Linked DNA regions of Ovis aries. The protein of the gene in region 1 interacts with the protein of each later gene in a pairwise test. Links are inferred from orthologs where the notes say so. Each region holds a gene or a part of one and is shown on either strand. Other genes may lie near its edges. The genes, in order: WASL and ARPC3.

Region 1 (3,824 bases):
ACGCTGTGCCACCTCTCCTGTCTTCTCCTGTCTTAATTCCTTCATATTTTTGCCTTGGGGTATGGCATGTCTTCAGCATGCTTTCCTTTTTATGTAGTCATAGTACAGATTATAAACATAGAAAGGTGGTAATAGATGTTTTCCTCACGAAAATGATAGAGATATTTCCAGTCACTTTTCAGAGAATAGAAATGCTGAACTGGTGCTATACCCAAATTTGGTATAGCTGATAATTTATTCACTATAAATTAATGCTCTCCCCTTGCCTGAACAGTAATTTAGTGTCTCGGAGAAGGAAATGGCACCCCACTCCAGTATTCTTGCCCGGAGAATCCCATGGACGGAGGAGCCTGGTAGGCTACAGTCCACGGGGTCGCAGAGTCGGACATGACTGAGCGACTTCACCTTCACCTTGAATGATTTTTAGCTGAATCCCAAATTATTCCAATCAGTGTGCTTACTCCCAGTTCAGAAGAACTTTATTCTCTCTACTGAAGAGATTCTTCACTGTACATAGAAGATTATGGTTCCAGAGTCCTTAGCAAAACCACAGGAAATGATTGACTAACAATACAGTTTTTGTAGTAGAATAGAGTGAGTCCTTTTCCTCTTGATTAGCAAACAATTAAATCATAAAAAATACTAGTTCAGGTAAATATCATTGCTTTTTGAAATGCAAGCCTTAAATTGATTAAAATGAAATCTTTGTATCTGCTTGGAGGATTTGACGTACTCTCTTATTCAGGGGGTGTACGTAACGTACATAGACCATGTCCTCTTGGTTTTACTGTTACTACAAACTATGTTGGAAAAAGACTGGTCTTAGCAAGTTTGTCTTCTTGCTTTGGATCTGGTGAGAAAATTGGGTGAACCTTAGCTGCAGCAGCAGCATGCCTTGAGTGTAAATCATGGGCACTTCCCTCAGGGGCGGCTTATATCCAAGTAGGATGACTGTCCTGTTTGCTGCTCCATGTTTCCAGTTTTAAAAGTCTCTGTATCAGGAGACAATACCCTTGTGAGCCTTGCCTTACTGTCTTTTTCATCTCATATTTATGACTACATTTGATACCGTATTTTATAGCATATTTCCCATGATTGTCTCAAATGAAATCAGAAAATAATGTTTGGCTTTCCTTTGAAGTGAGGGTTGTTTTTTTTTTCCTCTTGGTATCATTGCATTTTTGAGCATCTAACCCTATTATTTGAAATTAAGGTGTATAGACTATAGAACTATCCATCAAGAATGTATTAGTTTGTACCAGTAAATATAAATAGCTTTATTCCTTAAAAAAAGAAAGTTATTGTTTTCCTACTCACTCTTTAATGAAAAAATAATGAAGTTTATTATTCTGTAAATTTGTGTACGCTCTTGTTAAAATCATGCCTCTGGAAATGGAATAAATTTATACTTTGAATTTCTGTGTTTTAACTTACACTTTACCTTTAGCAAAATAAGAAGGTATATATTATTACTACCAGAGTAATGTTAATATTTTACTAACTTGAATTTTACAGTGTTTAGAAATTTTCAGTAAATTTGTTAATGTCTCCTGAATAAGTAGTTGAACATTTCAGCTGAGTTTAGCTCAGATTAACTTGAATAAATTTTAATAGATTATACTACATTAGCTATTTAATTCTGAATGTAAATTAACTGCATAGAACAGCTAACTAACTACACTTGATTCTTTAAAGAGGAAAAGTAACCATTAATTTTTATTAAAATGTAAAATGATGCTTATTGACCAAAATGTTTAATTTCTTTGTTATAGTTTTATTATTATTATATAAAAATATGTTTATTCCCTTACCTTGAGAAGTGGTGCTGATTTCTAATAACTAAATTCTACTACTTCAGCGAATACTTTTTCAAGACGAGGAAAGTGATCTTTAGGCTGAGAATTCCCAAATTATTGGAAATTATAAGATATCATAAGAATTGTAAGATATCATCTTTGCTCAGATAGCTTTGTAAAATAAAATACAAAGATGAGGCCTTTCCTCATACTGTTTTAATGCATGTTGAAATATGTTGCTTTTTCAGTATAATGTTTGTGGGGGAGAAAAGCATGCTTTCTCTTTTCTGTTTGTATTTCAGCACCACCACCTCCACCACCATCAAGGGGAGGGCCGCCCCCTCCTCCCCCGCCTCCACATAGCTCGGGCCCTCCTCCCCCTCCTGCCAGGGGAAGAGGGGCTCCTCCTCCACCACCTTCAAGAGCTCCCACAGCTGCACCGCCACCACCGCCTCCATCCAGGCCGGGTGTAGGAGTCCCTCCACCACCGCCAAACAGGATGTACCCTCCTCCACTTCCAGCTCTTCCCTCCTCAGCACCTTCAGGGCCTCCACCACCACCTCCACCTCTGTCAGTGAGCGGGTCAGTGGCACCACCGCCTCCTCCTCCGCCTCCGCCTCCACCAGGGCCACCACCTCCCCCTGGCCTCCCTTCTGATGGTGACCACCAAGTTCCAACTCCTGCAGGAAGCAAAGCAGCTCTTTTAGATCAAATTAGAGAGGGTGCTCAGCTAAAAAAAGTGGAACAGAACAGTCGGCCAGTGTCCTGCTCCGGAAGGGATGCACTTTTAGACCAGATACGACAGGGTATTCAACTGAAATCTGTAAGTAATCCATTCTTTTCAATCTAGACTACCTGTCTTCATGAAATTTTTAAAATATTATAAGACATCTTCGGAAAGAAATCTTTATTTTTACTTCTTCTCTTGGTATTTTTTTAACCCTATGAATTTCTGATATTTTTAATACCATAAAATACACACATTTATACCTTTACCTGTGTAACCTATATTGCTGTATCAAAATACCACCCCAGAAAGTTCCCTCATGCCTCTCTCCCTTCTCAAAAAGAATCACTGATCTTATTTCTGTCACCATAGTTTTAGTTTGCCTATTATAGAACTTCATAAAGAGAATATTGCACTGTGTTCAAAATTCATCGTTCTAGACTTTTAAATAAAATTTAATTGTGAGAAAAATCTTTATTAAACTACACAGAAGTAAAAGTAGCCATATTAAAACCAATCGTAATCATTTTGGTAAAGTCAGGCCATTAACTTTATGAAAACTAAACTATATTTTAAAGTTTCTGTGTCTGAAATTTAGATTAGTAGGGAATCAGACTCCACAGAGAATTGAAGAATTTCTGTAGTGATGGCAGATGATTTTGGATTCTCTGAGCTGGATGAGATCATCATTTCACCTTCTAGAGCAGGGCTTCCCTGGTGGCTCAGACGGTAAACCATCTGCCTGCAGTGTGAGAGACCCAGGTTCGATCCGTGGGTCGGGAAGATCCTCTGGAGAAGGAAATGGCAACCCACTCCAGGACCTTTGCCTTAAAAATCCCGTGGACAGAGAAGCCTGGTATGCTGCAGTCCATGGGATCACAAAGAATCAGACACGACTGAGCGACTTCACTTTCACTTAGAGCAAAGGTTACCAAACTTTTTTCTTTAAAGGACTAGACAGTAAACATTTTAGGCTTGCAAACCCATATAGTATGTTACAGCTGCTCAGCTCTGCTGTTGTACAACAGATGGAACAGCCGTACATGTTCTGTGAAAGCAGCCGTAGACAGCACATAAATGAATGGATGTGGTTGCGCTCTATAAAGCTGTATTTATGGACACTGAAATTTGAATTTCAGATAATTTGCACATATCACAAATATTCTTTCATTTTTGTTTTCTTTCAACCATTTAAAAGTGTAGAAATCATTCTTAGCTTTAATAAAGTTATACAAAAAGACAAGGCAGACTAGATTTGGCCCATGCCGTAGTTTCCTGACCCCTGACCTAAAGCCTAAGCT
Region 2 (3,824 bases), on another chromosome or scaffold:
TTCCCTGCAGTTCAAGGGACTCTCAAGAGTCTTCTCCAGCACCACAGTTCAAAAGCATCAATTCTTTGGTGCTCAGATTTCTTTATAGTCCAACTCTTACATCCATATATGATTACTGGAAAAACTGTAGCCTTGACTAGATGGACCTTTGTTGGTAAAGTAATGTCTCTGCTTTTTAATATGTCTAGGTTGGTCATAACTTTTCTTCCAAGGAGTAAGCGTTTTTTAATTTCATGGCTTCAGTCACCATCTGCAGTGATTTTGGAGCCCAAGAAAATAAAGTCTGACACTGTTTCCACTGTTTCCCCATCTGTTTGCCATGAAATGATGGGACCAGATGCCATGATCTTAGTTTCTGAATGTTGAGCTTTAAGCCAACTTTTTCACTCTCCTCTTTCACTTTCATTAAGAGGGTCTTTAGTTCTTCACTTTCTGCCATAAGGGTGGTGTCATCTGTATATCTGAGGTTATTGATATTTCTCCCAGCAATCTTGATTCCAGCTTGTGTTTCTTCCAGCCTGGCATTTCTCATGGTGTACTTTGCATATAAGTTAAATAAGCAGGGTGACAATATACAGCCTTGACATACTCCTTTTCCTATTTGGAACCAGTCTGTTGTTCCATGTCCAGTTCTAACTGTTGCTTCCTGACCTGCATACAGATTTCTCAAGAGGCAGGTCAGGTGGTCTGGTATTCTTCCCATCTCTTTCAGAATTTTCCACAGTTTATTGTGATCCACACAGTCAAAGGCTTTGGCATAGTCAATAAAACAGAAATAGATGTTTTTCTGAAAATTGCTTGCTTGCTTTTTCCATGATCCAGCGGATGTTGGCAGTTTGATCTCTGGTTCCTCTGCCTTTCCTAAAACCACTCGAACATCTGGAAGTTCACGGTTCACGTATTGCTGAAGCCTAGCTTGGGGAGTTTTGAGCATTACTTTGCTAGCATGTGAGATGAGTGCAATTGTGCGGTAGTTTGAGAATTCTTTGGCATTGCCTTTCTTTGTGATTGGAATGAAAACTGACCCTTTCCAGTCCTGTGGCCACTGCTGAGAGTTTTCCAAATTTGCTGGCATATTGAGTGCAGCACTTTCACAGCATCATCTTTTAGGATTTGAAATAGCTCAACTGGAATTCCATCGCCTCCACTAGCTTTGTTCGTAGTGATGCTTTCTAAGGCCCACTTGACTTCACATTCCAGGATGTCTGGCTCTAGGTGAGTGATCACACCATTGTGATTATCTGGGTCATGAAGATCTTTTTTGTACAGTTCTTCTGTGTATTCTTGCCACGTCTTCTTAATATCTTCTGCTTCTGTTAGGTCCATACCATTTCTGTCCTTTATTGAGCCCATCTTTGCATGAAATATTCCCTTAGTATCTCTAATTTTCTTGAAGAGATCTCTAGTCTTTCTCATTCTGTTGTTTTCCTCTATTTCTTTGCACTGATCACTGAGGAAGACTTTCTTATCTCTCCTTGCTATTCTTTGGAACTCTGCATTCAAATGGGTATATCTTTCCTTTTCTCCTTTACTTTTTGCTTCTTTCAACTCCTTGCCAAACTTTAATCCCTTGGAATCCAACAGAGTGTGAAATCTTTGTTTGTAGACTCTTGGGCAATAAACTGTGATCTAAACATTCTGTGATGTTATGGACATCTCTAATCTAATGCATGGTCTTAAGTGTGGTGTTTGTGTTAAAATTCCACCACATTTCATTCTCTCTCGAATATCATAGACTCTTAAAACTAGGGAAAAGTGTAGTTTGTTTATTTAAACTACACTTTAATTAAACTCTGTGTAAAATTTGACCTGAAGTACTGCCACATTTGATTAGCATCCGTTTGTCTTCTCCACATTTTCCTTTGGGTCAGGTCAAAAGTTGGACTTTTGGAGCTCTTCAAGAATAGGTCAGTTGTGAAATAATTGCTTCCTCCTTTAGAGTCATAAATGTTTCTATTCTCGGCACAGATCCTGAAGTGAAAGGGCTTTTAAAGATTAACGAGCCATATGGTTCACCTCAGGTTTTCCAGGCGGCTTTGTTAGCTCTCCTTCCTAGAAGGAGAAGTTATTGGTACAGCTTCTCAGGAACCCAAGGCAAGGGGAGCTGAGAAAAACAGGGGCAGCCACACAGCTCAGAGAGGAAGCTGGTGGCTGCCTCCCCAGGAGCAGACAGAGGGCTTGAGAAGATTACATTTGGAGAATGGGAATTTTTGATACTGTGATAACTGTGCTCTCAGTTTTCAGTTAATAAATCAAAAGACAAAGATTGAATTCTTTTATTGCAAATAGTTATTGCATTTTGCTCAGGACTGTTTTTAAGTTTTGTTTTCTTCCCATAGAATGAAGCTGATAGGACCTTGATATATATAACTCTCTACATTTCTGAGTGTCTAAAGAAACTCCAAAAGGTAACTAAGCCTGGATAATCATTTGTCAGGAATACAATAGGTGTTTAGTCTTGTTGAGTCTTTAAGGAGAAGTAGAAAATATTCCTCTGACTTAGAGCATGGACTTGAGAGGAAAATCTGAATGTAGATGTCTAAACTTACAGTAGTTGACTAATGAGAAGGATGATGGTGTTTTAAGGTTTTGGCAAATGTATATCTCTTAACAGTAGTTGACTAATGAGGAGATAAGGATGGTGGTGTTTTAAGGCTTTGCATATATTTTTCCAAGACAGAAATCTTGACCAAATATTCTTTTTTAAGCCCATGGCTCAAGGGTTCTTAACCTGGGGTCCAGGGATAGAATTCAGGGGTGCATGAACTTGAGTGGAGAAAAGATTACATCTTTTCACTAACCTCCAACTGAAATCTAGCATTTACTTTGATTATTAACGTAGGCAGCAGCCCACAGTAGCATTAGCAATACCTGTGACTTTCTGTGGCAGTTTCATACTACATTTATAATTGAAGATATTTTGAAATTTTACTTGCATTCATTACTGCTTCAAAATTCAGTTGTTAGGTCCACTGCTGAGTCTTGTTATTTAGTGCATTAAAGAGCACATGTGTGGCTATGTCATAAAGTTGATTTTTTAAATATTGTAATTATTGTATTTCATTATAATTGGATTCTTGTGTAGTCCTGTTTTATCTTATTCATTTAAAAGGTTAGTTTGAGGAGGAGCCTACAGGCTTCACCAGATTACAAAAGGGCACAAAAACAGAACCCCAGACCTAGCCACTTAGACCAAAAAACTGCAAATTGAAATGTTATATCCTTTTTCCCTACGTTTGTGTATATAATTTTTTTTTTTAAGTGCAATTCTAAAAGCCAAGGCGAGAAAGAAATGTATACACTGGGAATCACTAATTTTCCCATTCCTGGAGAGCCTGGTTTTCCGCTGAATGCCATTTACGCCAAACCTGCAAACAAACAGGAAGATGGTAAGAACATCTCCTCCCCCTTCCTGTGTGGCACATGGTTTTCTCCACTGGACTGTTTACCCGCCTCCTTTTCTTGACTTGATTGTTGTACAGATTGAGAGTGGGCTCATTAGCTCATGCACTAGCCTACTTTGTGAGAGTCACTCTCACAAAAGATCCTTGGCAACAAGTATGACACGTAGAGAACCTTTTCGACCAAAATGAGTATAATCTTAAAACCATTTGAACTGCTGTTTCTACTTCTTATCCTGTTCAGATGTTGAAGAATATTGCCAAGGTCAGTGTCTAAATCAACAGCTAGCACATTTGGGATGCTTTCTCAAATATAATTTTTTATTTTACCTGCTCTTGATTTTAGAGGTGATGAGGGCCTACTTACAACAGCTGAGGCAAGAGACTGGACTGAGACTTTGTGAGAAAGTTTTTGACCCTCAG

The links.
Region 2: the proteins of WASL (region 1) and ARPC3 interact in binary tests that used the Homo sapiens proteins (3 or more experiments, as listed by UniProt). The two-hybrid records come from large-scale screens. The link is inferred for Ovis aries from reciprocal best matches to the Homo sapiens genes WASL and ARPC3.

The regions. Positions count from the first base shown.
Region 1 is NC_056057.1:89,602,709-89,606,532, reverse strand, and holds part of WASL (actin nucleation-promoting factor WASL), read left to right. Parts: intron 1-2,098; coding exon 2,099-2,619; intron 2,620-3,824. UniProt on the Homo sapiens protein: Regulates actin polymerization by stimulating the actin-nucleating activity of the Arp2/3 complex. Involved in various processes, such as mitosis and cytokinesis, via its role in the regulation of actin polymerization.
Region 2 is NC_056070.1:54,356,987-54,360,810, reverse strand, and holds part of ARPC3 (actin-related protein 2/3 complex subunit 3), read left to right. Parts: intron 1-2,339; coding exon 2,340-2,408; intron 2,409-3,262; coding exon 3,263-3,389; intron 3,390-3,747; coding exon 3,748-3,824. UniProt on the Homo sapiens protein: Component of the Arp2/3 complex, a multiprotein complex that mediates actin polymerization upon stimulation by nucleation-promoting factor (NPF).